Rattus norvegicus: one gene and its partners. The protein of the gene in region 3 interacts with the protein of the main gene of each other region in a biochemical or structural test. Links are inferred from orthologs where the notes say so. Each region holds a gene or a part of one and is shown on either strand. Other genes may lie near its edges.

Region 1 (3,540 bases), on a different chromosome or scaffold from region 3:
GGGTATCCTGATGGTAGTCAAGAACTAGATAAAGCATAGAACTGTCTTGTCTTGTTTTTCTGCATAGCCTTGTCCTGAACTCATTTTGTAGACCAGGCTAGTTTGGAGCTTAAAAGACAGATCCACCTGCCTCTGCCTCCCAAGTGCTGGGATTAAAGGAGTGTGCCACCACTGCCTCACAGCAAATATAAAATATTAATGGAGGAGTGGTTCACGCCTGTAATCCCAGCACGTTAGAGTCTGAGGCAGGATTGGCATAGGTTTGAGGCCAGCCTGGGCTACATAATGAGTTCCAGGCCAGCTTGGGCTAAGTAAGAGATCCTGTTTCACAAAAAAATTTTTTAAAAGGCTACAGATAGGAAAAGCCTGAGCAACTGGGTAACTGAATAGGCCAGGATCCAGCTAGGATCTCTCCAGATAAGTGCAAAGAGGAGTTGGACTTAAGCACTTGGGGTCCAGGAGGTATAAACTGGAGCTCCTACTGATGAGAGAGCAAGTATGACTAGGAGTAAAGGGCTGAGAGGGTAAAGCAATGCAGCAAAGAACATCAAGGTAGGGGAGCTGCCTCTGAAATGTGAGGCTGAATAGAAAACCCAAGAAATCATTTTGTTCAGCCCTAGAAAATTACTAAAGATGTTACAGAGATCTGTAGAAGGCCAGGAAAGTGACATGAGAATATGGCACCCAAGACAGTTTATCTGCCAACTCCAACTCAGTTGTTGAAGGAAGCCAGATTGGGGTCCCATCCTCAAACATTTGACTTGTGAGCTCAGTACGCTCTGGGCTGTGAAGATAGTATCCCTGCCATATAGGAGCTGGAAAAAAAGCATACCCCACTATGCACATTCACAAATTTCCCAAGGCCACTGGGTGACATTTATTGTAAAAAGCACATGGGGTGAGGTTGGGACCAGGTAGGGCAGGTTCTAGGAGGCAGAATCAGAGGCCTCTGAGCTGTCTTTGACATCTGTGCTTTCTGTGGTCTCACTGACCTCACTGAGGTCCTTGCTGTCCCCACCACTATCCTCAGCAGTCAGGCCCTTCTCCTCACGACAGGCCTCTCCTGAGCTCAGAAGCACGTTGCCTTTGTTCTCCGCCTTGTTCTCCATGGCCGACAGCACCATGTGCCTGCCCTTTTCCTTCAGCTCCAGGTGCCGCCTCAGCTGCCGCCGGGAGCCCAGAGGGAAGCGGGTGGAAAGAGACAGGGCCTAAGTCTCCAGACAGGAGACAAGAGGAGCCAGGCCCTGGGGCTGGCTGGGGGAAGGGACACAGTGAGAAGTGGTAGGGCCAAGGCAGGAAATAGGACTGGGTAGAAATGTAGTTCAATCCTACCTCTGTCCTAAGCCTGCTTCATCTGTAAAATGACATGAGTTCTATTGCCCTCAAATACGCTGCTGGGAAGCCCCCAAGACAGAGCAGTGCCTTTCCAGGAGGCTTGGTCAGAGAGACCCTTTCTCCCTAGCCCAGTTTAATCCTAGATCTGAGCAGGCTGCCCCCAACCATAGTAGTCCCAATTCCTCTGTTAAAAAAAAAATCTTCCTACTGTCTCTCCTATTCCACCCATCTCCAGACTTCTTCCCCAGAAAGCATCCCATGGCCTCCTTTACAGTCAATGAAGGCCATGCCCTGACTTGACAGCTTAGGGAGTAAGGGAAAGAGGGGCTCTGATTCCTAGCTTTACAACCACAAAAGCTGACACTCAGTCTCGGTCTTGCCTCTAGTCGCCACTGCCTCACTCTGTCTCACAGCTCTTTGACATCTGTACTTTCTGTGGTCTCACTGAAAATAGACACCTTTCCCAATTACAGAATCTCCTCTACTGCTGGAATTGCTGCCCTGGCCTGGCTGAACTCTTACCTCATCAGCCATCTGCGTGAGGTCCCGCTTCATTGCATATGCATCTTCCCCATCTGCATAGTATTTGGGCTCCACTTCGCTGATCCTGGGGGTAGGATCAAGACACATGCCTAGGGGCAAATTCTCCAGGTTCTTAGGCTACTGGGGTAAATGTCATCTCCCCCTGTAGGACCTTTGTAGAGGCAAAAAGCCAGTGTAAATGGGTTTCTCCTTTTTGTTTTTCATTTGACTGGATTCTTGTTCAACAGCTATGATAGTTTTCTCTGCTCTTCAAGTAAAGCCAAATAGCATGTAGCATCCAGGGCACTTCTGATTCCTAGACTTGCTACCACTTTGTCCCTAGCCCAACCATCAAGGACTTGTGTATTGAGTTGAAGTCCTTAATTCTGCCTTCCTCTCCCTGACCTGCTCCCTGTTATTTACTGAACACATAGTTCCTCTGCTAGGAAAGAGGGACACTGTACCTGCATGTAGATGGTCATCATAGACAACCTGGTTACTCACCAGATGGATGAGGGGAGGGAGGTGTGTGTGCACAATTAAGTATCCCTGACACTGGAAGAGAAACCCGTTGATGACCTAGGAAGGTTCCTTGCCAGTCTTTAGGGATACATGCTGGGTAACTTCCTCAGTTGCTTTCCATCTTATTTTTTTCAAAATAGGGTCTCTTACTGAATCTGGAACTTGTCCATTCAACTAGGCTTGTTGATTAGTGAACCCTAGGGATTCTCTTGTCTTAACCTCTTCAGCACTAGGATAATAGGTACAGGGCACTGTATGTGGCTTTTATACATGAGTGCCAGGCATCAAACACAAGTCCTCACAATTAAGCTATCTCCTCAGCACCCATCTTTTGAGACAGGGTCTTGCTATGTGGTTGAGACTAACCTGGAACTCCCTATGCTGGGACTGCAACCCACAGTCCTCCACTTTGAGTGCAGAGATTAAGAGACATGTACTACCATACCCAGCTGGGAACTGCTGACTTAGCAGGTAAAGCAGTTCCTGCCACAGAGGCATCTTAACTAGGTCAAAAGTCCCTCCATGAATATGGATGTTGAACCCAGAAAAGCTGAAGACCACCATCCTGTTCCAATGGTGTCATCTTCACTGGACCCCCTCAAAGTCTAGTGTGGCTCAGTGGTTCCTCAAGTTAGTCTATTCGAGCCTCACTTTCAAGTGGCACTAGGTACTACTAAGTCCTCTCTTCATAGAGATGGTCATGTCCAGAGTCCTGCCCTCAGCCATCAGAAACACTCAGAGCAATAGGTCCCTCATTGCTTTTGCTCATGGCCCCCTTTCCTTGCTGTCCCCTTTCATCTGCTCTTACTTGATGCTTCCTGGAGCCAGCCATTTCTCAGCCTTTGCTCATGCTCTAGTCTATCTCTCTTTACTCCTAGACTATCACAGAGAAGCCCTGTGAGTCCTTTACCACACTGCCCTTCACCAGTCTCACTAGTACCAAGCCACCCCTCCTATACCCAACATATATTGGACCCTCCTCTACCACACACAGAGAAAACAGATGCTTTCTTCAGGTCAGTCAATAGCCAATGAGTATACAGAAACCCTCCCAGCAATGTCTAGAGTCCCTCAACCCCTTTCTCAGCCCAGCAAACTGGATGGATCATGCCACTTAAAGAAAATATCTTGATGTACTTACTGAAAGTTGAGGGTGTTGGA
Region 2 (3,211 bases), on a different chromosome or scaffold from region 3:
GAGTGAAAAATGTACATCATATACACATTTGATATCATCAAAAATTAAAAGACATCCTGTATCCATTCAAAAAACAAACTGACTACATTTGTGCACTGAACAGATGTGTTCTCTTTGGCATGGCTTGTCTATTTATCAAACTGTCTTAGGAAATAAAAGGTAGAAACACAACTATGCTATCATCCTAAAGAGAAATGATTATGTGGTCAGGGACACAAGTCAGGCTCACCATGTCCTAGCTTAGCCACTAGGCAAGATTCCTTTACAGACTGCTCTTGGAGTCTGAGTTGTCTGTTTGTCTGTGTACTGTAGCGAGATCCTGAAGGTGAGCTGGATACAATAGACCATCCTGTAATTCCTGTATCTATGAGGCTGAAGCAGAAGGATTGCTACAGAGTGAGAGTCTGGACATCTCCTGTGCGTGCATACACACACACATATACATATATACACACATATATACACATATACACATTCACACACACACGCTTATACATACACATTCACACATACATGCTTATATAGACACACATCATCACACACACAGAGACACACTTACCTGCACAGACACATATACATTCACACACTTACATGTTTATACATATTCTTACACACACACACACACACACACACACACACACACACACACGCGCGCGCGCGCGCACGCGCACATTAAGCTGAGGCTGAGGGTATTAAAGGAACCAGGTACTGTCTCTGGCCTTGTATGGTTTGTGTCTTGATGGATATGAAAGCAGTTACTAAAAGTGACTCAAAAATGTGGCCTCCCTGTCATTAGCCTCCTGGTCTTGCTGCCATTCATATTATGTAACAGATTTACACATCAAATGTAGAATATTTATGTTCCAGGAGAAGGGAAGCTTGTGAGAGAAACGTTGGTGCTACTAGAAGGCTTTCTTGAAACAAAGTGTAGTTCTGAAGAACACCACCGCAGTCCAGCCTATACTGACCATCAGAACGTACTTCAGGCAGTGGTCACTGACCCTCAAAACGGTTATGGGAAGTGAGACCCTAACATTTTGTCATTATTTCACACACTGTGCTTGGCAAAATGTTTTATTCCGAATAATTTTATTGTGAGTCACATAAATCTCACTCTAGGTTTTACACAAAAACGGAAGTTACATAGCTGCAAATCCCAGCTCTCCCTTGAAAATACATTCAAGTTCATAACAAATGTTAATTGCACTTAAAAATTAAATAGGATGTGAAGAAAGGATGCAATATAAAGACACTCAAGACCTTTCCATTTAATCTGCCTTGCATTTCTATAAAATTCTAAGCCATCTTCCCATCCGGGGTTTACAGATGAATCTTGTCCCCACTGAAACTGAAGAACTAAAGGGGTTTCAACAAACATGAAGCCGGGACAGCGAGAGGGAGCCTCGGGGTGGCTGGTGGAAACCAGAACACAGCATTGCCTGGTTATGAAAGAAAACACCCAAATCTCAGTGCCACGCGCTGTGGCTTCTGTGTCGCCTTCAGATGTCCTTTCCACAGTCAGGACAGAGGATGTCGTCTCTCTCTGTGAGGAAGCCTCGCCCCACCAAGGACAGGGAGCACTTCTTACAGTTAAAGCAGTCGTTGTGCCACTGGCGTTCCTCAAAAGAGATGTACTTTGTGCCACCCAGACCTGTGCACAAAAGAAAACACAGGTGACCAACCCCACCGTTTGATCCGCTTCAACCTTTGGGCCCCACTGTGTGACACATGCGCAGTGAGTGACCGGCCTCAACCTTTGGGCCCCACTGTATGACACATGCGCGGTAAACTTCAGACGAACAACTGAGAACACAGAGTGCACGTATAATCAACAAACTCTTCACGGCCTCAAAGAACTCAGGGTCATCAGAACAGAATCTGGTTCTAACAAGAGTACGATAACACTATGAAAATGTGCCGGGGTTGGGGATTTAGCTCAGTGGTAGAGCGCTTGCCTAGCAAGCGCAAGGCCCTGGGTTCGATCCTCAGCTCCGAAAAAAGAAAAAGAAAAGAAAAGGTGCCGGTTTGGCCTGGCCGTGTAGCTCATCATAGAGCCCTTGCCTATAAGGTGTCAAGGCTTGGCTTCTATCACTCGCCCTGTGAAAAGAAAAATGCCTGCTGTTTCCTCCATTATTATGTTTTCCCCTGACGTGAAACCTGCTCCCCACAAGAGAAGGGAGCAAGCTCCTTGTGCCTTTGCTGAGTGCCGTAACAAAGGGAGTGGATGTAGGGAGGCAGAAGAGAAAAGGATAGGAAAGCTGCCCTGGGAAAGTTCTGGGAAGGGCTAGGGAAGTACCAGCTTACAGAGCGGTGACCGGGAGCTGCGATCAAAGAAGGGATAAGCATAGTGAAAGAATGCAGGATCACTGGCCCGAGTCCCCCGGAAGTGTTAAGGACTGGACAAAACCAGTGTTCTCTTTTCACGGTGCTGGAGGCAGGGTCAGGATCAGGCAAGCTATGGAAGCAGTTGAACACTGAGCTGGAGCCTGGGTTCCAACACTGGTAAACAAGAAAAATGTCCCGGTGAGATGTTTAAGGTACACAGGGTGCTGACAGCACTATCAGTGACTGGTGGTCTGTATGGTGGTGAATTTCAACTACCAAAACTTTGGTGTGATTAAATCATGATGTAAGAAAGTAGCTATCCCTGTACCACTCCACCACCACCAAGTTCAAGTTCTCAGACCTACAAAGACTCTACCTCACCAGGTTGGTTCTACTGTAACAAGCCCTTCCCCACCAGGAAAATGCCAGACTTCAGATTTGGCAAGCCACGCCAAGGCTGGGTGCGTGCACGTGACTCCATGAAGTGCCTGTGTCCTTCCAAAGGTCACGTCTGCTGCCTGATGAAGGACATACTAGCAAAGTCTATCAGCCCTCTTTTCCTAGATAGCTTATGTGGAGGGAGGCAAATTCCTGGAGCTGAGGCTGTAACTCAGTGGCAGAGTGCTTGCCTAGTATGTGTGAATCCATGGGTTCGATTCACAGAACCACAAAAGAGGAAAAGAAGCAACACCCAGTATCTAGTTTCCATATAAATTGCCTTCCCTATTCCTAGAACCAGAACTTTGCCACTGGCCCTGGTCGAAACCAGTCTGGCTTTCAGGCCTGCTGTTGTAGCATTTCCACATCTCTGAGTCACCAGGGAAGCTCTGGAAAGTTCCCAGGGCTGCTAAAGGCTTGGGAAAGAATGGTGATGTCCCTTCTTAGC
Region 3 (5,143 bases):
GGTGCTTATAACCAAGCTCACTCTGAATTCTGCAGCCATTCTTCTTAACACTGTGTTTTCCGGGTGTCACAACAGAAAATATTTCCATGATTAAAAACAAATGAAGGACAAGCAATTATTTTTGGTCTTTTACTCTATCTATCTATCTATCTATCTATCTATCTATCTATCTATCTATCTATACTCCCTGTAGCTCTTTCAGAGGTATGTTCTAGATTCCAAACAAAAATACTGCTCAAGTCAATTTATATAGTCTTAGCTTCTTTTTTGAAGCCAGGACCTTGTGCATACTAGACCACTGCTCTCCGACTGACTAAGCTAAATCTCCAGCTGTGTCTTCATGGGTCTATTGAGAGGCTTTATACATTGTTTATTGTCTTATTAGACCTGGACACCATTTGTATTTATTGGGGGGCGTTGTTTTTGGATTTGAATGCAATTTAAATCTGCCACAGATGTCTACATTATTATACAACCCAACGTTAGATTGTAACGATGTACTAACAAGGCAAAGAAGAGCTATTAAACAGTCAAGTGTCAGGTCAGTTTCAGAGACCTCAGATTCAGATCTCCAACACGTGTGTGTGTGTGTGTGCGTGTGTGTGTGTACATGTGTGTGTGCACACGCAGGTGCATGCAGTGTTCCTTTGTTGGGCTTGGAATACATTAAAATTAAAAAAAAAAAAACTAACAAACATCATACCCACAGACCTAACATTCATGCTTCCAAAGACCGACCAAAAGTGATTGCTTTAATCCATAGTTCCCAGCACAGCCGGTGAGCAGTCCTGTCAAGGTCTGTAGGTTGGAGGATGCATTCTTCCTTCTTTCAGTCTAAACAGTGAACTTTAATAAACTCAGTCTGAAACAATTCTTGCACCTTTTCTGCATCTATTTAAGATTATCTTTGTCTTTTTTTTTTCAAAGCAACATAATAGCAAAATAAGTCTACTCAATGCTTTTTCCTGCCTTGTCACTCAAATTCAGGCTTGTGCTCTCACTTATTGAAGCTGTTATTTATGTGTAAATTAAGATAGTTTATTTTAAAATGGCCCTGCAACTTCACTCGCCTTGAGAGGTTTTGCAAGAGGGATTTGTTTTATATTTTTATTTGCATTTGCTCAGTAGTCAAACTTTGGCCCAGAAAATCGTTAATGACTTGGAGACTTCCCTTGTTCTGTGGCAGAGAGCAGAGACTGAGCTTCGTCCGGTCACCTGGGAAGGAGAGACCCCACTCTAACAGCAGGGGGCTGGCTGCCAGAACACAAAGTTGGCTGTTTTTGCAACTGGAAACTCAGGAGGGATGGGCGGGGACCCGGTCCAACCACGCAACTAAGGAGTAAGCGAGCCTCAGACAACTCCACAGAGAGCAGGGCAGTGTGAGCACGTTCGGACACAGGCTTAGCATCCCACTTGCTCCAGCAGCGCCTCCCAAGGCCAGACGCAGCTTTCCATTGAAGGCGCAGAGTCCCCAGACCTGGGCTCAGCCGCACCCGTCGGTCGCCCCTTTCTCTTCTCTCCCTAGCTGCACACAGACGAGCACGTGAGCTGGGCAGCTCGCCCCAGCTGGGGCTCAGCTGACCTCCTCCTGATTGGCTGAGAGCAACGTGGGCTGGGGTGGGGCCTGGCCGCCTGCGTCCTTTCCCATTGGCTCTCGGGGAACCCGCCTCCGCTCAGGTGAGGCGGGCCCGCGGGTGCGCGCGTCGGGCTTAGCGGGCGCGCGCAGCCCTTTGCTCCCCTCCCCTCGCCGCGCGCCCGAGCGCGCCTCCGCCCTTGCCCGCCCCCTGCCGCTGCCTCAGCGCCTCAGTGCACAGAGGCTCCTCGTCTGAGGGGACGCGAGGACTGTCCTCGCTACCGTCGCGAGCAGTGTCTGGCCAGGCCTTGACAAGCCAGCCGGAGGAGCAACTAGGAACCCGAACCAGAGCCCGGCGAGCGCAGCCTGCAGCTCCCGCCTCGCCGTCCCGGGGGGGTGTCCCGCCTCACACCCCGCCTCTGGACTTGCCCCTTTCTCTGCGCGTGAGGACAGAGCCGGCGCTTAGGCCGGAGCGAGCCCAGGGGCTGCCGGCCGGGAAGACACCGCGGGCACCGATTCGCCATGGAGGGCGCCGGCGGCGAGAACGAGAAGAAAAAGTAAGCCGGGCCGCCGCGTTCTGTGGGCTGGCCTTTTTTTGTCTCTGCTCCCCTTCCGTCCCCCCCCCAGCCTCACGCGCCGGGCTCCCCCGCGGTCCACGTCGCCATCTTGGCGCGGGGGGTGGGAGTCGCGGGCCCAGCGCTCGGCGGGGCTGGGGTCTCCGCCCCGGACACCCGCCCCGCGCCTTCGCAGCCCAGCCTGCCCCGCGCGCTCATCCGGCCGAGCCGGCCCCGGCCGAGTACGCCCCTAGCTCCCGCGCCTTCCCGCCCCGGACCTCCGCGTTTGCCGCGAGCACCGGGCCCCGGGCGGACCCTGTGCGCGCTGCCAGCTTCCTGGGGTCGAGGCCCTCCGAGGCCGACCCCGGGCTCCCCGGAGCCGCCTCGTTGTACCGCGGCCGCCGCTGCCTTTGTAGGTTAGGGAGTTTCTTCGGGGGGCCGGAAGATGCTAACTTTCTAGTTTGCACGTGCAGGTTTTGTTGGAAACACTTGCCACCATCAGAGTAACGGGAATTTAGGAAAATGGCATCATTTTAAATAACTTACAGTTCCTACAAACTTGTGTTTGCATCACCTGTCAGGAGAGCCCAGACGTTATGTATGAATATGAGTATGCCTCGTTCACTCCTGAAAATAACTTACCGATAGTTTCGGTTAAACTTAGGCCGATAATTTAATGAGATGGGGTGGGGGGTGTATATAATGAAAGCAAATGAAAACCAGCAGTTAGAATGTTGCAAGTTTATTGGAACACCTGCAAAGAATTGTATCCAAAAAAACATACATCCGAAGTGAGAAATCGTGTGTGAGAACTCAGTGTAAGTTTATGAAACATCCTGTGGTTTGAGTCTGAGAACATTATAGGCTTACGAGTGCAGCTAGTAGTGGTAAGATCGATCCCTGCCGCCAGCACACAGTTTTGTCTACTTCGATATTTTAACCTTGAGAAAATCAGTTTAAGAAGTTGAAGGTTTGTTGTAAGAGCTGTGGTTACAAGGCTGGCTTAATTCTTAAGTCCTTCCAGTCTTCTGGAAGAGATTAATTCCCCTTATCCATATCCGCAGAAGAGATAAATGTACTCATTTTCTTGCTCTTCTGTACATCCCTTCCTTGCCTTGGTCTTTATTCCATAGAACGTCCAGGTCTTGGATGCACCAAAGAAAGCACTTTGAAAATGTTTTAAAGTGAGCATGCAAGTCTAGACTTAACTCCAGGAGTTACCAGAATTAGTTGCAATTAATTTCGCAGAAGTGACTACAATGCTTTTGATGAAATGATGGGCTGCTATTCTCTAAACCTTAGGCAGATTGCCATTGTGTACTTACTGTCCTTATTAAATGCTGAATTATATTATATTAATACACTATACCAAGTAATACACCAATCATGTCTCTTTCATATACACTGTTTGTGTGTGTGTATGTGTGTGTGTGTGTATTTAATCAAAAGTAGTCTTACAATGGATAAGTAAGTTAATTGTGCATCGGGTCCAGTTCTAAATGGTTTTTAGGTTTTCCTCAGAACCATCTGTTAATTTAATTTTTCTTGTTTGAGATGTTAGCAGCTTTAGATCAGATGGGATTATATTTCTTAATATAGAGGTTCTTAATATCACTAAAAGATAATAAACATGAGTGATGGGTCACTCAACACTTAGGTGCTATGTATTAAGTATGTCTTTTTGTAATCATAATTTTGTTGAAAGATTGAGAGGTAAAATTTTTCTTTCTCCAATTAGTCCATCTTAAATGAGCCTCCAAAGTGAACAGGTGGGAAAGAATTTTGCTTTTTTAATAGAGAGTATAGAAAACTCAAATCTCAAAGATTTGGAAGAAAGCAGAACAGAAAGTGAATAATAGATTTAACAGTCGGTATGTGCTGTGTCTGACTCCTTAGCTGTTGGTACTGAACTTGATTGACCTAATATGTATATGGATTCTTAGATTTCAAGAGAATGTCAAGCTCATTCTGTTTCTAGCTTGTAGCTGAACTTTCAAATCCCTCCCCCCAAATAGTTATTGGGTCACTAAAATAAAATCTCTTAAAGATGTTTCTTAATTTCTCCTTTTAGCGTTGGTCACTAAAAATCAAGAAGTTTATTAATAAAATTTTTATTATAATTTAGCTTTCCTCCTTGTTTGAGGAATCAGTAGTCTACTGATTTAGATAGAGGATACAGATAGATAACCACAAGTTGGAGTCCCAAGCCTTTCCACTTGTGATTGTTGGCAAGTTACTGAATACTTGTGGATTATATACCCCCCCTCCCAAGAGGATAATACTAGCCTTCTGAAAATAAGATAATGCATTTAAAAACCTTAGGCCAGCACATGGTTTGTAACACATTATATACTTGAACATGGGTGTTAACTGTTATAGTTCAGACTTTCATAATCTTCAAACCTTTCTTCTGTGCCTTCATGCATTTTTTTTCTTATATTCAAAAAAATGAGAAGACTGGCTCTGAATTGAAAGGCTAGAAAGGTTCTTTCCTACTGAAGCCCTGTCCTTGGACCATGGCATCTGGCATCTAGGATCAGTTGTTTCACTGAACATATGATAGACTCTAGGCACCTATCACAGTTCCCCATCCCAGTGTTTCCTCCCTAACTAGGTCATTTTGAATCTACTCTGGGCTCTAGTCATAAACATATGCGGCTCACGCTGTTCACTCTAGCAAGAGACACCTAAGGTAATGTAGTTTTAGAACTGGTAGTGACTTACTTTTTTTTCCCCTTGCCCTGATGCTCAAGTTTTGAGTAGACAAGTATAAATACTAGTTTCTGCAGGAATTTAATAGAAATATGGTATTTTGCTTATGTCTACCTCCATAGTTAAGACTATTGGCCTTCATCTCAAGGCAAGGCTTTCAACTTGTGTTGATCAGATGTTTACAGCTTAGTTTTATGAAAAAAAACTAAGGACACTCTTATTTAGCGTTTACTTAGTTATCAGAGTATTTTAACATGTTCCAGTCCACTCCAAAAGCACTTTGTGAAGTCTACAGATTGTCCCA
Region 4 (4,343 bases), about 21 Mb from region 3:
GATACCTTCCTCATTCCCATAAAACATGAAGTGTTGCAGTGTTTCCCTCTGACCTGCTCTCTGGCTTCATTACAGACTCGATGAGGTTTAGATAACAGATCTGATAAAACCATCAGTTTCCGGAGTCTGTTACTGCCCCGTGCACAAATTGGCATGGGCTTGATGACTCGTCCCTGAGGTTTGCCTATCAGTGCATCCATAGCTTCACAGTTTGAGATCCTGTCGAGGACCAGCAGACAGTTGGGGGAATGAATGTGTTCAAGCCAAAACCCATCTCCTGTGGCACTCAGCCAGAGACCTCAGTGGTACAATTGGTCAGCAAGGTTGCGGCGGGACCTTTGAGCTTCCCGTGGTTTCCTCTCATTGTTTAAACGTGATGCACATGGCTTCTGGAATCGGAGAGAGGGTGACTTGCACTCCGGCCAGAAAAATGATTTCTTCCTTCCCTTAACAACATGTATGCTCACAAATAGCGGGGTGTCCTAGTGGCAAGTCCACAAGGCACTGTGCCAGCACATTCTCTGTTTTATACCTGCAGCAGTTAGTGGAGGGTGCGTTTGTGGGAACTGTCTGTACTTCCCGCCTGTACTTTAATTCGCGCTGAGTTCTAAAGCCTGTGCGTGCGTCTTAATGTCCTACAGGACACTGCTTTCTTCACAACGTGCTGAGCTTAGATCAAGTCTTCTCTTTGGACATTGGAGGACTGTGTTAATTACTTGTCTCATTGCTGTAACAAAACACCCGACAAAAGCAGCTGAAGGAAGGAGGGATTTACTTTGGCTCAAGTCCCAGGGCACAGTGCTTCGTGGCAGGAAGTCATGGCGCAGCTCAAAGCAGCTGGACACGGTGATTCCACAGTCAGGAAGCAGAGGGAGAAGGATGCTGGCGGCAGCTCATTTTCTCTCTTCTTTAGTTAGGACAGGTCTCCCACCTCAATTGACCCAATCTACAAAATCTATCCCCAACACCAACAGAGATTTGTCTCCAAGGTGATCCTACATCCTGTCAAATCGGCAATCGATATAAACCATGTAGCCCGCCCCCCTCATCACAGGAAGGAGCCTGGGATCACAGTCGATTGCAGATGAGGTAGATGGCAGGCATCCAGACCGCTGACCTTTTCTGGGAGCAGAGCTGTTTCGGAATATAAAGCTGAAACACTGACTGACAGCAGGCGGTTTTTTGGTTTTTTTTTTTTTTTTTTTAAGTCTGCCCAGTAGTGGGGAGACTGGGATGGTGGGGGAATCATGGAGTCATTGTGCTAAGTGGCTTTCATTGTTGGCCCTCACACACTTACGACCCGCTGCTTCCAGGAATAGGTGATTCCCTATGTCCTAGGGAACTTGTCTCTTCCTCTGCGGCCAGGCCAGCCGCTTCTGGCTGCTCACAACCGCCTCTTTTTCGAGCCGCCATCTATTTGGTAATACCATTTGTCAAATCCTTATTACAGTCACCTCAAAACCCGACTTTTGGGGAAATGTTCTGGCTAACAGAGCAACTTCAGCTCGACACAGGACAGCACAGTGGCTTGTCCAGAGGCCAGCTGAGGGGTCGCTCGCTGCGAGGATGGTCAAGTACAGATAGCCTCTGATTTAACTTAAGTTCATTCCAAAGCCAGGCCACTACTGAGCTTCCAGCACGCAGTGTGTGTGAGGCCCAACTCTGTTTTCAGGCTCTACTGGGAACCAGCTCCCTGAACTGCCAGTGGCTTAGTTTGGGGCTGTTCCAGACTACTCCTTTTCCTCATGAAGTAACCTTGCTATTTATCAAGGAGTATTACAACCCAGACCCCTAAATATGTCTGAAAGTATGCTTTCAAATCAGAGGAAGGAAAGCTGTTAAGCTGGGTAGCATGCACTCTGGTAGCAAAGAACCGTCGACAAGTTCATTGACACACTGATATGATCTGTCAGCTTTTCAGTGGACAAACCTCTGTGTCTGGTGCTCCTTAACGCCAAGATTGCACGGGTAACTGAGGTACGAGGGAAGCTTCGGGCTCTCCTTACTAGTTCCGATGTTTTCCTTACATACTCCAAATCCCTATAATGTTTAAAAATTATAGTTGTGTCTTGTAATGAGAATAGGTTTTATATTTTGCTTCTCTACCCCACCCCCACCTCTGTTACATTTCCCCCATGAAACAACAAAGGCATATTAACCTGTAATTGTAATTCTCAGTTAGGATTTTTCTAGGTGGCTTTCTTCTTCCACCTTGAGGGTATAGGGTTAACCATCATCAGGAAGAACATAGGATTTAGGGATACATTCCTCTGTGTGTGTGTGTGTGTGTGTGTGTGTGTGTGTTACATTTATTTATATATTACATTGATTTATGTATGTCTATTTATATATTTACATAAATGAATGGCTTTTTTCCCCTTCTAAGAGATCTCCCTGTATTGTGTGTGCTGACTCGTTAAGTGTTAAGGTCTGGCTTTCCACTGACCCTTCTCTTTTCTTGCGGTCCTAAGCTTTTATTGAGTAAGTGACCTTTACTCCCTTTAGAATCAGACACGTTTTTGTAAGAAAACCTGCGTAATTCCACAACGTGGGGCACTGCTAACCAAGCACAGTCCCTAAGCCCCACACCAAAGATTCTTTCTTTCGTTTAACCTCTCTGCACACCCTGTCCCTTCCTTCCTTTTGGAGAGGGTCTCCCTCTGTGGGCCAGGCTGGCCTCATGTTTGTGCCCCAGCTTCTGAGTACTAACGTTTACATGTCCGTGCCCACTATACTATGCCTGCCTCTCATATCTCTGGATTCTGATCTCATGGGGCTTGGATGGGAACCCGGAACCTGCTTTTCCACAAAGGAATATTAAAGAAAGGCAAGCATCTTGTTGATGATGTGGGTGGGTTTCTTTAGGAAGTTCTCAGTGTTCTAGAACGTGGGAATATTACCAGATCACTTACCCTGCACCAAGTCCTAAGGCCGGGCCCGCCTGTTAAGCTTTCATACCAAAGATTACCTTGTGTTCGTTTTATGTTCTGATCGTAATCCAAATGTATGCACTGTGTACCTCTGCTGTGGGAGGAGACTACCTACACTTTTTTTAAACAGCATCTCTGGAATGTCTCCACAGGCGATGGTGGCTTGCTATCCAGGAAATGGAACAGGTTATGTTCGTCATGTGGACAACCCCAATGGTGATGGCCGCTGTATCACCTGTATCTACTACCTGAATAAGAATTGGGACGCCAAGGTACTGTGGAATAGTGTGTGCCTGCATGCCTGTGTCTGTGCGTGAGTGTCTGTGTGAGTGTGTGTGTGTGTGCGCGCGTGCGCATATGTGTGTAGCTTGGGGAGTTATATGTTATAGAAGGTGCAGATAGAGGTGTTCTGAGTTCAGATCAAAAGAGCATGCCATTTCTAACTAGGTAAAACCTTCCGGTGGCTTTAAGGGAGTTATAGCTTCTAATAGCCGGTCTCCACTGTTTATGTCTTACCTCCCCCAAACCCCTACTTATGGAATTAGTGCCAAATATTAAGAAGATAGCTAGTTGTTCTAGTAGGACAAGTAGATTGTTCATGTGAAAAAAGAAAAGGCAACTGAGGAGACGGATAGATGTTCAACAAGATGCAGATAGCATGGCGTGAAAGGTCACGGAAGGGTCCAGTCAATGGGGTCAGAGGGCATTTGAAGAGTTCAGAGGTCAGCCATAAATAGTTATTACAGGAGCAGCTGTATGGGGGGCGTAGATTGAAGCAGTCTGACTTGGACAGTTTTGTGTGGTGCTCCGACTGTCCTATTTTGCGTCTGTGGCCTTCATGACCGTGGGAATGGGAAGATGCTGAACTGAAGTTGAATATAACTGTCTATAGCTAAGTCTGATACAAGTTCAATTCCAAAGTATGAGGGGGAATAAATAGTTATGGGCCAAAACCCACTTAAAGTTGAAGTATGGGTGGTATTTCTCCAGGATAGAGGTAACACATCATTGCTGATAAACCTCCTGTGAGACCAGGAAATAACTAATTATCTTCTTGGTTTTCAGTTACATGGAGGGGTCCTGCGGATATTTCCAGAAGGAAAATCATTTGTAGCAGACGTGGAGCCCATTTTTGATAGACTCCTGTTCTTCTGGTCAGACCGCAGGAATCCACATGAAGTTCAGCCCTCCTATGCCACCAGGTAAGAGGTGGGGGTCACAGTTCCTCTTCTAGGGTGCATACGAACCCTAGATTCCTGAAAACTAATGTCCTATATAAGGAAGTGCTGGGTACACCCCAAAACTGAGAGAACCTGTTTGGAGTGATGGAAATTGAAGGAGCCTCCTTGGGATTCATTAGCATACAAATCTGACTTCAATTTAAAGTAACTATTAACTTCCTGTTCTGTGAGT
Region 5 (4,920 bases), on a different chromosome or scaffold from region 3:
CTTCCTTTGTAAATGGGAGAGCATGGAGCTGCTGTGTAGAGTGCTGGGGCTAGCTAGCTCTCCCTCCCCACCAATCTGACCTGTTCTTCCCTCCTGAGGGGTAAGAGTCACTTAGAAGAACCTGACTCTTACCCCTCTGCAGGCCTAGCTCAGGTCCTGTCAATAACACAGGTGGGAGCAGGCCCCAGGGGAAAACAACTTCTTCCTTTACATTGCTTTCCCAGACTGCTTGAGTAGCCAGGCACCTGGCCCAGCTTTCCCACCCTGAGGTTACAGAGCTGTGCCCAGTCTCTGGGCACTGAGCTCTCCTGTGTCCCTCCTGACTTCCCTCCTGCAGAGCTGCTGAGCCGGGGAAGCAACACCGATCTTGCCTGCACAGAAGCCAACCCAGGGAGGGGCCAGCTCTGGCTCTTCAGCTCTCACATAACAGGAGGGAGATGTAAGTAGGACTAGTTCCAGCTGGGGTGGGGAGGAAATAGGCCTGGGCCGGGGGTGGGAGGTGGGGGAACCATGGTCCCCAAGCCAGTTCCAGCCTGAAAAGAAAGCTGTATTGAGGCAGAACCTAAGATAGGACCCCACAGAGAAGGGAGGCACCACTGGGAACACAGCCTCCCGCTTACAGGGCAGAACACAGCCTACTAAGATCACCAGCCAGGAACCACTGTTGGCCAGCAGCAGGTACTCTCAACGGACTGTATTGAAATGACACCGAGCCGCAGGCTCACATACTCTTCCATGAAGAAAATGGATACGGTCACAGACCAGAAAGGCATGGGGGGTCACTGTCCAGTCAGGGCTCCTGACCCCTGGTTCTTGAATGAACTGCTGGAGGCCTATGAGACCCTGACAACTGCCCACAAACTCCGACCAAATGCATGCCTTTCCTGAGGTCTATGGGTTTCAGCAGATTTACCTGAAAAGCCTTGACTTCAAAAACATTAGGAACTACTGTTCTGCAACAAGGAGGAATGGAGGAGAAAAATATAAAGGCAGAGGGTCAAGGAAAGAGATCAGAGAAATGCAGGCAGGAAGTGACAAACGGACAGAGGACAAAGAACAGGGACTGGGGCAGGGAGGAGTGGGAAAGATGCTGACAAGTGTTCTACCTGGGCCAGCACACTGTCACCCAGTGTCACCCCATTGGGAAGCGGTTCTTGGTGCAGATGCCAAGAGTAGGCTCCAGGGCAGGATGGAGGCCAGGCTAGGTGCTCAACTACACAGGCAGCACCCATCCTCAGCCTAGGCTACCGCGACAACGCCAGACTTCTGCTTCTGCATGACAGCTGACCTACCCTTGGTCTAAGGAGGGTTACGACAGTCAGGGGCTCTTGGTCTGCCAAGGTCAAGGACCACTGCCATCCCAGGCTGAACTCCTATTTCAGGTACAAAAATCAAAGTCTAGAGGGAGGTAACTGTAGCCTCTCTGGTGGAGCTGCCTACACCCTACTACACAACCCCAGAGGCTTGCCTCCAGACCCGCATGCCAAAGCATCAGGCACTCACCGGAAAAGTGCCTTACCTTGGTGCGCCCATTGATGACGTAGTTGCCCAGCCGCCCTGCACAGTGGCGGATTACTGCGTCCACATGAGCCATGAGGGCACCAATGCTCCGGCAGCCTGGCTCGTGGCCTTCTACCCAGGCAATCTGGTCCCCACGAATGCTGCGCGGTGGGATCGCCCGCTGGCTCACTAGTTGCCCATCACGTAGACGCCCGCCCCACTTCAGGGCTTCCACCTCAGCCAGCACACGGCCACCCAGTACTGCCCCCAAGAAGTTGTCCTTGACGCAGATACCATAGTACCGCATGCAAGGCACAATATAGTCCAAGGCCAGGCGCTCAGGTGCAGAGGGCTGGGCTTCCTCCCTCAGCCTAGAACTTGCCTCGCCACTGCTATGGGTAGTGCTGTTGCTGCTGCCGCCACCGCTGTCACAGCCCACACCACTTTCCCCCTTGGCCTCCTGGTTCTCTTGCCTGGCCCACGGTCGCTTGCTGGGTGAAGGGGCATCCCCACCATCCTTGGCCCACTTCCGTTTGGGGGCCTCAGGTCGGGCACCCTGGGCCGCCAGTCGCTGGCACTCCTTGGTAACCAACGCAGCAGCACCTTCACTCTGCAGTGGCCACAGCTCACCACCATCCTGCCCACCAAAGCCCTCCCGCAGGGGACTGGCAGTGGTAGTAGTAGCAGTGGCTGTGGTTCTGGGGGTCCCGTTGCCAGCCGAGGCCTCCCCAGATGCTCCTGAACGGTGGTAGGAGGGGAGCAGAGGACAGGGCAGGTAACTCTCCACCCCCATCCTGGCTCGGCTAGGCTCCAAGGACTCTGACACAGACCCTGGCAACTGAGGGAGAGCTTGATTCAGGGCCTGCGGCTGGCACGGGCTGTCCATGGCAGCAGTGTCTTCATCCCCCGGGCATGGAGGGCACGGCCCGGGCCCATGGTGCCACCCTCCTCCGCCTCCTCCTCCTCCACTTGATGCAGCCCGGGGCCGCTGGGCCTCGTGTGGGGCAGGGTGAGGCAGGGCAGGCAGCAGGGGCTCCTTTAGTGCTCTGGGGGTGCTCGCTGATCCCCAAGTCCACAGTTGTCCCTAGGAGCTTGAGAAAGGATTGATGGGGGTGGCTGGAAGAGAGAAAAGGAAGAACTTAAGAGTCAGAGACAAGCAGGTGGGAAGGGCTGGGAATGGTACCAGCGGTAAGCAGATGACAGGGCCACAGCAAACACACACACACACACACACACACACACACACACACGCTCGCTGAGACGAGGGGGCATAGGGGTATATATCTTGGGAATTTGAGAGGGTTGAAAGGGAATGTCTGGCAGAAAGAGTAATAGAGGAAAAGTGCAGAGAACACTGCGTGGACGGCCCAAAGAGGAAGGCAACAGGGAGAGATAGAGAGATCTGAGGAAGAAAAGCAATGGTGAGAAGTGGGAAATACGAGGTACCTGCCAGAGGTTTCTATAGAGACTCAGAGATAAGGAGGGAGGATGACACAGAAAACGGGAATGTGGAATCTAGGGTAAAGTCGGGGTTGTGGGGAACCAGCGGGCAATGCCACCGCGCGACATTCACGGGAACCAGATCGCCTGGGTGGAAGGCCACGAGCCAGGACAGGCGGGGAAAACCGGGAGTCCAGGGACAAAGAGAACAGGGAGAAAAACAAGACGGCAGGGGAGCGAGAGGGCCGGTGGGGTTGACCTGTGCCCTACGGGAGGAAGCCTACTGGGGCCCGACACACACCCAGCCGGAAGGGAGGTCCTGCCAGACGGACGGACTGACGGAAGGGAGCCCGAGAGGAGGGTCCGACCGGACTGCCTCCCTCCCCAAACCCCTCCGCCGTGACCCAAGGGCCGCCGGACGCCGCGGACGACTGAGGCGGGGCCGCGTCCGCCCGGCCCCTCCCCTCGGTGGTTACTGCGCGCTCCCGCCGCCCTCGATGGCCCGCCCCGCCGCGCCGGGAGCGCGCTTCCCTCCCCACCCCCAACCCCCCTAGCGCGGGGTCGCGGCCGCCCGCGCGCGCTCCCGCCTCCTGCCTCCGGCCCAGTCGTCCGCGTCCGGCAACCGGACCTCTGGTTCCTTCTCCTCCCCAGGTCTTTCACTTCGCGCGACCCCCTCACCGAGCTTTTTCCTCCGGCCTCGGCGCCGCCGTTTGTGCCAGCCGCCCTGCGCTTCACAGCGCGCCATACCCCGCCCCCCACCGCCCGCGACGCCCCGCCCCCGCCTCGCCCGGTGGGCACGTGACCGCGGCCAGGCCGAGGAGACTGCGCGTGCGCGAACCGCACAGTGACAGGAGGCTTAGAACACCCTACGGGAGAAAAAAGTGAGCTGGTCCCGGACGCGAGGCTCATTTGCATTACGTGCCCCGCCCCTTCCACGCGAAAGCAAACACGCAGGTTCAGGAAAAGGCGTTCTGTGAGTTCTTAAGACGGCCCCTTGGAGGGGGTACGAATGAGCAGTTTCACACAGAAAGGCCCACCCCTCAGAGCCAAAAGTGTCAGAGAATGGCTAGCAGCTGGGTTCTTGGCATTTGCTATGCAAATATATCATTTACATGGGCCGTTCCTGCACACACCCCAAGAGGATATTGAGAAATGACTGCGCAGTTAGTTGGAAAGTGTATGTAAATTCCTACGTCAGTAATTTACATAAGCACTTAAAAAAAATAACGGTGAGTACGGGATGTCCTTAGAGAAGCGAAACCGGGTAGAACAAACGAACAAATGTGTACTATTTGCATGACCCGCTCCTTGCTTCTCCCTCAGGGCAACTGTGGGAGTCAGATTAAAGCAACCTGGGACAGACTCACAGAGAAGACATTTGCAAAACCCAGCTCCTCTCTAGCCCGGGTGGATTTTTTTGTTTATGTAGTGCTGGGGTCTGAATTCAGAGCTTCCCACGTGCGATGCAAGTGCTCTCTCACTAAGCTACTCCTGACATTTATAACACCATTTCTGGGAGGGCTGTGTGGATAGGGTTATTTGAATGCCCCACCCTTTCCACCAACTCCGGGCCTACCAAATGGGCAATCAATGGGGTCGGATACTCGCTGACCTTTTGTGAGAGCAGCTGAAGCTGTCCTGGGGGGGCTGCACCTGTCTCCAGAAGGCCATATAAAGACATCGGGGTACAAGGAGATAAGACATCATCATCAAGTGTGACCAGGAGTCTGGGTTGCACAAGAACTCCAGTGGCACATGGAGAAGAATGTTCATGTTCACAGGCACACAGACACACACAAGGAAACAAGTATCAGGAGCACGTGTTCTAGGAACACACAGTGAGCCACCGTCCTAGTTTGCAGACATGAGGCATACACTGAGTCAAACCAGACACATCATGGAGGCAGCCTTAAGAGTCCCCAGTTCCCTGGTCTTGATGTTGCACACGGCAGCAGCCTCACCAACAGTCACCAGGCCAGA
Region 6 (4,860 bases), on a different chromosome or scaffold from region 3:
ACTCAAGAAATGGAAGCAGAAAGGTCATGAGTTCAACGACGTCGTCCTTGACTACATAGCGAGTTCCAGGCCAGCCTGGGCTATGTGAGACCTTCCTGTCTCAACGAAAACTAAACAAATCCGAGCTGGTTCTCTCAGTCTCTCCTGCTCTGGGGCCTCAGGCTCAGAATGGAGCTCTGGGAAGTTCTTCTGGCCCCCAGAATATCACTGCTGGAGTGTCCGTAGGACAGGCCGGTAAGAAGGTAACAAACAACCCCGTTTGATGAGGGTTGGGAGTGGTGGAGGGTTGGCGTGACACAGTGACGGTGAGCGAGTTGGCGGGTACACGGCAGTGGCAGGTCACCTGTCCCCTCTCCTGCAGGCCTCCCCCGTGTACAGCTTCAGTTTCCCCCGGAGGAAGTTGGAGTAGACCCGGAAGAGCTTGCAGAAAGTATCCGCTGTGAGTGTTCGGAGTGGAGCGGCTTGGGTGGCGTCTGGAGGCGACATCAATTCCTTCTGTCAAGAGAAAATAGGATGTCACTGGACTGCTGAGGACTACAGATAAAACAGAATGGGAGGGGTGTGCAAAGAGAGACCTCAGTATTATGGCAGGGGTCACTCTCCACAATATTTATGATAATGTGGGTGTGAATGTATGCAGGTGCCCAGGGCATCCACAATACACCCTCCAGATTCCCTGGGGGAGGGGTGTGAAGGCAGCTATGAGCCACCTGATATGGGTCCTGGGTATTAAACTCTGCAAGAGCAGCAAGCTCTCTTAAGCACCGAGCCATTTCTCAGCCCTGCCACCTGAAGTTTCTGAGACAGCGTCTCTCCTAGAACCTGGAGCTCACAGACTGAGCAAGACTGGCGGACCAGTGAGTCCCCAGGAATCCTTATGCTTGTCTCCCCCAGCTCTGGGATTACGTGTACGTTCAACCTCACCTCACTTTTTTTTAACAGAAATTCTGGAGATCAAACTTGTCTCCTTACACTTGCGCAGAGAGCCGTCCTCTGATTCATCTCCCCAGCCTGAGCTGTCAGTATTCTTTGTTTTAAACTTGATATTACATTAATTCACTATTATATGGGTGGAAGTCAAAGGACTTTCAGCTTGTGGGTCCCAGGGATCGAACTCAGGGCATCAGGCTTAGCAGCAAGTTCCTTTCCCCACTGAGCGACCTCCCTGGCTCAGACCTCAATATTCTTTAACCTTCTTGGCGCGTCCTGTAGAAGGGCAAGTAGCAGGGTTCACACAGACACTCACACTCACCTGAGCTCCCAGCACCCGAAGCAGTGAAGTGAGGCTACGTAGCCCACTGATGGCTTTGTCTATATGAAGCTGAAGACTCTCTGGTGGCTGGGAGGAATTGGCCTGCAGAGCCTGGGCCTGCAGGATGGCTTCTGAGAGCAGAGACAGGCCTTGCCAAACTTCTACAGCCTGTTCTTCCACCTAGGGGAGGCAAAGACTTAGAAACAGCCAGCCAGGGTCATCCTCAAGCAGTAAGGTTTGTTGAATGAGTGAATGAATGAATGAATGAATGAATAAGAGCTACTCTATCCCCTCAACTATTGCCTCTAACGTTCTTTCTCCCACATTATCAAGATCTGAGAATGAGACCCACCAACCTCTAGGAACCAGGGGTGGAGGGGGGTGTGGATGGACAGTCAGACAGACAGACAGATGGAGATGAGAACGGGGAGCAGACACAGTGCAGCTCACCTTCATTCTTTTCCAAGCGTAGAAGTTGACTTTGGTATCTGGGACGGTAATATTCTCACTCAGTCTGGGACCTTCTGCACAGCCCATCTAAAAGACACAGCCCTGGGTCAAGATGTCCAAGGGTTTCATTCCACCAAAAGCCACCAGACACCGTCTTTGAACTTTACCAGCAGGGTTTGGGGGCTACTAGCTTTGCCATTCTTTATTTTAGATAGTTTCATGTAGCCCAGGTTGGCCTCACTACTTGATATGTAGCTGAGGATCACCTTGAATTTCTGACCCTCCTGCCTCCACCTCCCAAATACTGGGATTGTAGGTTTGTGCCACCTAAATGGTTCGTGCGGCACTGGGAATCGAACCTAGGCTTCTTGCACAATAAAGCAAGCGCTCTACCAACTGGGCCACATCCCCTGCCCAGTTTTTTTCATTCCTGTGGGAGGACAGAAAGGGGTGTAAGGCTAAACATCTCATCTTGACCCTAAAGGCAGTTCCGGGAGGGAACCCAGATTTCCAGATCCCCTAGAACCAGTTTCTTTCTTTTGTGGGGCCAGAGCACTTACTGTGACATTTTCTGCCTCCTTGGCCTCCAAGATGTACCTCTCCAGAACGCGACTGTCGCAAATGAGGCGTGGGGGAGCGCAGAGGACTGGGAGGCCCAGAGGAATCAGTAGCAAGGATAGTAAAAGCAGCAGGGTGGGACGTTCTGTAAGAAAGGCAGGCTGAGTGTGAGGAGGGAGGGGAGGGGAGGGGGCCGTGGGACTGCAGGGGCCGGTTTGCTCAGCGAGACCCCTCTGCCCTTCTAGTCTCTGCTGACCCCGACCTTGCAATTGCTTAGGCTCTGCCTGAGTGGCCTTCATTCAATCCCTCGGCGCTGCACACCCCACCCCCCAACCGACCGGCATCCAGTTCTCGGCCAAACTTCACTGTGGGTGCACGCCAGAGGCTGGCAGATCCAGGGAAGCTGGGACTCCTGAACCCAGGTAATTCTTTTAGCAGCTTTCCACCCGCAGAGCAGCGCCTCATCTCCCTAAAATCCTAAACTTTGTCCCTGTTCTGGATCCCCCCGCCTTTTTGTCATTCACAGGGGGCTCCCCAAACCCCTTCGTGCACGTGGAGGCTGCCCCAACCCCCCTCTCTTCCTTGATCCTTGGAGAGTCGCAGGTCCTTGAATACGGCCGGCCGTTTCCTGGCCAATAGCTTTAGATGTAAATCCCTGCTCAAACAGCAGCCCTGGAGGTCACAGGTCCCTAGCCTGTGAGTACTCACCGGGCACCCCCATCTCCGCGCCTGGCTGCTGCGGCTCCTTAGCGACCCGGGGCTGGGCCAGTGTCCACGCTGTGAGTCTTCATCCTTAGAAGTTCTGTGGGGCCAGATCACCCCAGTAGCCTGGAAGAAGGTGGTCACCGTCCAGGGGGCGCGGGCAGAGTGGGGACGCGGTGGCCCTGGCCAAGGGTCTGTTCGGGAACACAGTGAGACACAGCCACCGGCCGGGGTTGGTCCGGGGACACTGTGGCTCCGGCCGGGGGTCGGGGATGTTATCAGCATGTGTGCGTGCGCGGGTGGGGGTGGGGGTGAAGCTGTGTGTGCGTGAGGGGTCGCCAGAGGTGGGGGCCACCTGGGGTCAGAGCAAGGGGCAGGACGCCTGGGTCGGGTCCTTGCTGGGGTAGAGCAGGCTGTTCCAGGCACACACGCTGTCAGGGGGGTCTTGGGAGGGGGGTGGTTCTGAGTTACAGGAGGGTAGACCAGTGGAGTGCGCATCTGTGAGATGTGCGGGAAGGGAAGCGTGAGGCTGAGGTGAGGATAATTGAAAAGCTGGGCACCAGAACACCTCCCCTGGGGGGCGTCCTTGTCTTGGGGCAGGGATTTAGATCAGAAACAGCTAGAGCTGGAGTCTAGAAGCAGCTCAGATGCTTTTTCTTCTTACAATCTTAGACTTGTTCTAAGGGTCAGGGTTGACCCTGTTGAGGAATCGGACTCAGACAAGTGGAGTAATGAATATGGGCCTCCTCCCCTCCCTCTCCTCATTTTCTAGAACCCTAAAAACCCAGGAAGGTAACTTTCAGAACAGGGAGCCTGTGGTGCATTACAGAGGACACGTGGGCAGGTTGACAGTAGGTTCTTGCTTTTTGTCTTTTCAGTGCTGAGACGGGAACCCAGTGCTTTCTATTAGGCAAACACTGTAGCTAAACTCCCATTGAGCTGTGGGATTCTAGGCAGGGGCTCTACCACTGAGCCACGCCCCCAGCCCCTCACTGGGGGATTCTAGGCAGGGGCTCTACCACTGAGCCACGCCCCCAGCCCCTCCCTGGGGGATTCTAGGCAGGGGCTCTACCACTGAGCCACGCCCCCAGCCCCTCCCTGGGGGATTCTAGGCAGGGGCTCTACCACTGAGCCACGCCCCCAGCCCCTCACTGGAGGATTCTAGGCAGGGGCTCTACCACTGAGCCACGCCCCCAGCCCCTCCCTGGGGGATTCTAGGCAGGGGCTCTACCACTGAGCCACGCCCCCAGCCCCTCCCTGGGGGATTCTAGGCAGGGGTTCTACAGATGAGTTTGGTCTCCAGGACCAATGTCTATTTTGTGCAGGATAAAACAAGATATGTTTTAATCTTCTTCAAGATCATACACAGCAAGACAGGTTCTGAACATGGCAGGCAATGTATCAGAACTGGAGTGTGCAGATCTGAGGTGTAAGAGCTGAGGGTGAACAAGCTCATATCCAACCAGGGAAGTTAAGGCAGATGGGATGGCAGAAATCACTGAGCTCAGACTTGAGGATTGAGCAGTTTGGGTGGAACACAATTCTATGGGATGTGGAGTGGGGTGGGGGGCTGGGGGGAGTGTGGAATGAGGGGATCAGACCAGAGTGCTCTTAGGGAGGAACCAGGTTGTAAAATAGCCGTGAATGCTATTCTAAATAACTTGGATTTAAGAGAGAGGGAGAGGGAGAGAGAGAGCTCCAGTCATCTCAGCACTTAGGAGGCTGGGGGCAGCCAGTGCTACATAGTGAAACTATCTCAAAAGATAAAAGAAGGGCTGAAGAGATGGCTCAGTGGTTAAGAGCACATGTTACTCTTGTTGAGGACCCAGGTTCGAGTCCCAGCACCCAAATGGTGGTTCACAACCATCCATAACTCCAGTTCTAAGAAATCTGATGCC
Region 7 (3,514 bases), on a different chromosome or scaffold from region 3:
TGAGTTTATAAAACGTTGGATGTGCTCCAGTATCTCCTCACTAACAGACGTATGTGAGGTCAGGGAGAGAACCTACCATAGGCTTCCTCGATGAGGCCACAGTAGGGATTGACCCCTGAGCCACTGCGCTTGCCCTCTTGCTCTCCGAGCCGCAGAATGTTCTCTAGTCCATTGAGGGCCACTTGTACAATTTTTGAATCCATTACAGTCAGCAAGTCACACAGGGGCTTAATGCAGCCCAGTGATACCAAGTACCTGGGGACCAGAGAGGACATATGCCCCACATTAATGCAGAACACAGAAATTGCACCAGGTGCTCTGACCTGTGGGTCTCCCTCATGCACACCGATACTCCCAACAAAGCAGTCTTCCCGAGTGTGGATAGCCACCTAGCCTTTTTATCCTCAGCCCTCTCTGTCACTGATCTATTACCTAATGAACAGAGCCCTATTGTCACCTTGGCTACAATGTTATCACCAAGGTTGCTCAGGTTCCTTATTCCCCTGAGTACAGCTTCTGTGGTATGTTAGTACAGATTGTCTGCAATCTGGCCCCTACCTCTTTTTAGCTCTAGTCAGAATATTCCATTCTGAGGGTATTCAATTGTGGTCAAATTTGAGAAGATCTCCAGATTTCTGATTGATATATATATATGATCTAAAGTCCTTCTATATAATGCTATAATCCTCCTTTCTACCCCCAGCACCCTTTTAAACATGACTTTTTTTTTTTTCTTTTTTTCGGAGCTGGGGACTGAACCCAGGGCCTTGCGCTTGCTAGGCAAGTGCTCTACCACTGAGCTAAATCCCCAACCCCTAAACATGACTTCTTTATGTAGCCCTGGCTCACCTGGGATACACTACATAGACCGGCTGACTTCGAATTCAAAGATCTGACGTCTATCTCTGCCTCAGACTTAGGTTGTACAGCATCATGTGCACCTTATAGTTTCCTTTTAATGTTTTAACTCAATGGCTCTTCCTTTCTCCTGAGACGTTAATGTGGACAGGTTAGTAGGTTGTAATTAGGGGAAAGACAAATCTAGCGCTCATGGTTCTCATGTTCAGATGACAAACACTACAGTAAAGGAGCAAAGGTGCAAACCGAGGCTGAGGCATGTCCTTGCAACCCCAGCCCGAGAGGCAAGAGGGCCACAATCTCAAGGAGAGCTCAGCATACACAGAGAGCCCTAATCTCAACAAAACTAAACAAACAAACACCCCAAGACTTAGCTGGGTATAGATGTGTGTGCACATAATCCCAGCACTTGGGAGATTGAGGTAGGCTAGGTTAGCTTGTCTCAAGACTCTGTCTCAAGTAAAACAACCACAGAAAACAACCTGGCAATCTAGTCCAGAGTCCAGGATCACTAGCAGCTCACTAGTTAACCTTAGACAGTTAGACTGGGGCAGGCTCCCACCAGAAGACACTTGAGTCATGTGAATACCACGAACAGGAGAGCTCAGATGATTTAGGCTCTAAGGAAAGGAGTCAGACCTGATTTGCTCAGGGGTTCCTCCTGAGGTTGCATTGGTGATGGCCCAGGCTGCTTCTTTCCTCGTACGGAACTCTGCTTTCTGAAGGATTTCGATCAATACAGGGAAGATATTTGCATCTATGACAGCCTGAAACAGAGGTGAGGAAGGAGGACAGAAGCAGACAGTTTAAAAAGCAGAAGGATCAGGCATGGTGACATATGCTTCTGTAATTACCAATACTTGGAAGGTGGAGGCAGAAAGACCATGAAGTCAAGGTCATTTGAGGCTAGCCTGGGCTACATAAGACATTGTCTCAGAGGAAGAGATGAAGAGCAAACCAGAATCAAACCTCAGGCTTTTTTCCATTAACCCACCTGCAAACACTTTCTTCTTACTAGAGAAGGGACACGGTGTGGGGCACCTAGCTGCCACTGTAACCGACTGGTTATGCTGCCCCAATTGTTTTGGTGGTCTTGGGCACTGAATCCAGGTGACTCAATTAGGCCAACTCCTACTAGGGAGCTACACGGCTTGCAGATTTTCCTTGGCTCCCGTTACAAAGGGAAACAAATGCTTCTTCTGGAAGCAAGTCTACCTGTATTTGAGCCCTGTTGCCAGCAGTGATGTTTGAAATGGTCCAGCAAGCTTCCTTCCGGATTGATTCCTTAGAGCTGCTCAGCAGGTGGAGGAGGCAAGGGAGGGCTGAACAGTTAAGAATGACCTAAAACACAACAGCATACGAAATGTATCAAAATTCAATATTTAGTCAATCCAATTAAGAATAGATATGCATTAAGACACCATCGACAGTGCAAAGCCAACCTGCGGAATATTAGAAAATACTTGTAAAATAAGTATTGATTGATCCAGAGTATATGAAGTTATTTATTTATTTTTTTTTTTTTTGGTTCTTTTTTTCGGAGCTGGGGATCGAACCCAGGGCCTTGCGCTTCCTAGGCAAGCGCTCTACCACTGAGCTAAATCCCCAACCCCATGAAGTTATTTTTTTAAAAGTTATTCTTTGGGGTTGGGGATTTAGCTCAGTGGTAGAGCGCTTGCCTAGCAAGCGCAAGGCCCTGGGTTCGGTCCCCAGCTCCGAAAAAAAGAAAAAGAAAAAAAAAAGTTATTCTTTAAAAAGACTTTATGAGTACACTGAAGCTGTCTTCAGACACATCAGAAGAGGGCATCAGATCCCGTTACAGGTGGTTGTGAGCCACCATGTGGTTGCTGGGAATTGAACTCAGGACCTTCAGAAGAGCAGTCAGAGCTGATCCATCCATAACAACTGAGCCATCTCTCCAGCCCCATGAAGAACTCTACCCTAAGCAATCAAACTAAAATGAACAAAGGGCTTGAAAAGACATTTCTCCAAAAAGAGATACATGGATGATCTATTAGCAATGTAATAGGCTCATGATCACTTATTGATAGAGAAACAGAAGTCAAACCAGGAGACAGCACGTTACAGTCATTGGGATGGCTGACACAGACATAACAGAAGTGCGATGTCTTGGAGAGGGAGAAGCTGGAGCATGGAAGAACAGCGCTGGTAGAGACAGAAGACGACACGGCTGCTAACCTTACAGATTAGCATAAATCACCATGTTATCCAATCTCTTTTGCATACATGTGACCAAAAAAAAGGGAAGCAGAGACTGCACACCAGGGCGCACAGCAGCATCATTCACAACAGCTAGGGAGCAGAAACAACATACACGCTTACAAGACGATGAAGGCTTTAAAACAGAATGCACAGACACTAGAACACCATTCAGCCTTACTAAAGAATTCAAATTCAACACACAAAGATGTGAAGGACTAATATGTTGTGACTTCACTTACAAGGAAGTGTCTATAGCAATCAGTGGAATAAAGCCACACATAACCGGCCAGAGGAGGGAGAGCACACACTAACTCATGGGGACACCTGCTGAGGACGGCAGGCAGGAAGTCAGCGGGTTCTAACTTTGGAACAGGGAGCCATGCAGTGCCCTTGGCTGTGGGTCATTCCAGCTTTATCTTACATCTCCATGTCC

The links.
Region 1: the proteins of Hif1a (region 3) and Naa10 form a complex in vitro, tested with the Homo sapiens proteins (4 studies listed by BioGRID and IntAct, with this or other methods). The link is inferred for Rattus norvegicus from reciprocal best matches to the Homo sapiens genes HIF1A and NAA10.
Region 2: the proteins of Hif1a (region 3) and Fhl2 form a complex in vitro, tested with the Homo sapiens proteins (2 studies listed by BioGRID). The link is inferred for Rattus norvegicus from reciprocal best matches to the Homo sapiens genes HIF1A and FHL2.
Region 4: the proteins of Hif1a (region 3) and Egln3 form a complex in vitro, tested with the Homo sapiens proteins (5 studies listed by BioGRID, with this or other methods). The link is inferred for Rattus norvegicus from reciprocal best matches to the Homo sapiens genes HIF1A and EGLN3.
Region 5: the proteins of Hif1a (region 3) and Egln2 form a complex in vitro, tested with the Homo sapiens proteins (3 studies listed by BioGRID, with this or other methods). The link is inferred for Rattus norvegicus from reciprocal best matches to the Homo sapiens genes HIF1A and EGLN2.
Region 6: the proteins of Hif1a (region 3) and Epo form a complex in vitro, tested with the Homo sapiens proteins (2 studies listed by BioGRID). The link is inferred for Rattus norvegicus from reciprocal best matches to the Homo sapiens genes HIF1A and EPO.
Region 7: the proteins of Hif1a (region 3) and Kpna6 form a complex in vitro, tested with the Homo sapiens proteins (2 studies listed by BioGRID). The link is inferred for Rattus norvegicus from reciprocal best matches to the Homo sapiens genes HIF1A and KPNA6.

Annotation. Positions count from the first base shown.
Region 1 is NC_086039.1:156,806,539-156,810,078, forward strand, and holds the end of Naa10 (N-alpha-acetyltransferase 10), read right to left. Parts: coding exon 3,521-3,540; intron 2,030-3,520; coding exon of another isoform or gene 2,011-2,029; exon of another isoform or gene 1,996-2,010; intron 1,968-1,995; coding exon of another isoform or gene 1,955-1,967; exon of another isoform or gene 1,943-1,954; coding exon 1,858-1,942; intron 1,255-1,857; coding exon of another isoform or gene 1,164-1,254; coding exon 927-1,163; 3' UTR 840-926; downstream 1-839. UniProt on the Homo sapiens protein: Catalytic subunit of N-terminal acetyltransferase complexes which display alpha (N-terminal) acetyltransferase activity. Acetylates amino termini that are devoid of initiator methionine.
Region 2 is NC_086027.1:52,880,033-52,883,243, forward strand, and holds the end of Fhl2 (four and a half LIM domains protein 2), read right to left. Parts: intron 1,652-3,211; coding exon 1,500-1,651; 3' UTR 1,059-1,499; downstream 1-1,058. UniProt on the Homo sapiens protein: May function as a molecular transmitter linking various signaling pathways to transcriptional regulation. Negatively regulates the transcriptional repressor E4F1 and may function in cell growth.
Region 3 is NC_086024.1:98,358,129-98,363,271, forward strand, and holds the start of Hif1a (hypoxia-inducible factor 1-alpha), read left to right. Parts: upstream 1-1,769; 5' UTR 1,770-2,095; coding exon 2,096-2,130; intron 2,131-5,143.
Region 4 is NC_086024.1:77,390,010-77,394,352, reverse strand, and holds part of Egln3 (prolyl hydroxylase EGLN3), read left to right. Parts: intron 1-3,082; coding exon 3,083-3,202; intron 3,203-3,995; coding exon 3,996-4,132; intron 4,133-4,343. UniProt on the Homo sapiens protein: Prolyl hydroxylase that mediates hydroxylation of proline residues in target proteins, such as PKM, TELO2, ATF4 and HIF1A. Target proteins are preferentially recognized via a LXXLAP motif.
Region 5 is NC_086019.1:91,583,705-91,588,624, forward strand, and holds the start of Egln2 (prolyl hydroxylase EGLN2), read right to left. Parts: upstream 3,282-4,920; 5' UTR 3,242-3,281; intron 2,617-3,241; 5' UTR 2,387-2,616; coding exon 1,520-2,386; intron 1-1,519. UniProt on the Homo sapiens protein: Prolyl hydroxylase that mediates hydroxylation of proline residues in target proteins, such as ATF4, IKBKB, CEP192 and HIF1A. Target proteins are preferentially recognized via a LXXLAP motif.
Region 6 is NC_086030.1:24,839,428-24,844,287, reverse strand, and holds the start of Epo (erythropoietin precursor), read right to left. Parts: upstream 3,004-4,860; 5' UTR 2,982-3,003; coding exon 2,969-2,981; intron 2,406-2,968; coding exon 2,263-2,405; intron 1,790-2,262; coding exon 1,703-1,789; intron 1,433-1,702; coding exon 1,253-1,432; intron 496-1,252; coding exon 340-495; 3' UTR 1-339. UniProt on the Homo sapiens protein: Hormone involved in the regulation of erythrocyte proliferation and differentiation and the maintenance of a physiological level of circulating erythrocyte mass.
Region 7 is NC_086023.1:147,277,512-147,281,025, forward strand, and holds part of Kpna6 (importin subunit alpha-7), read right to left. Parts: intron 2,200-3,514; coding exon 2,074-2,199; intron 1,626-2,073; coding exon 1,498-1,625; intron 256-1,497; coding exon 77-255; intron 1-76. UniProt on the Homo sapiens protein: Functions in nuclear protein import as an adapter protein for nuclear receptor KPNB1. Binds specifically and directly to substrates containing either a simple or bipartite NLS motif.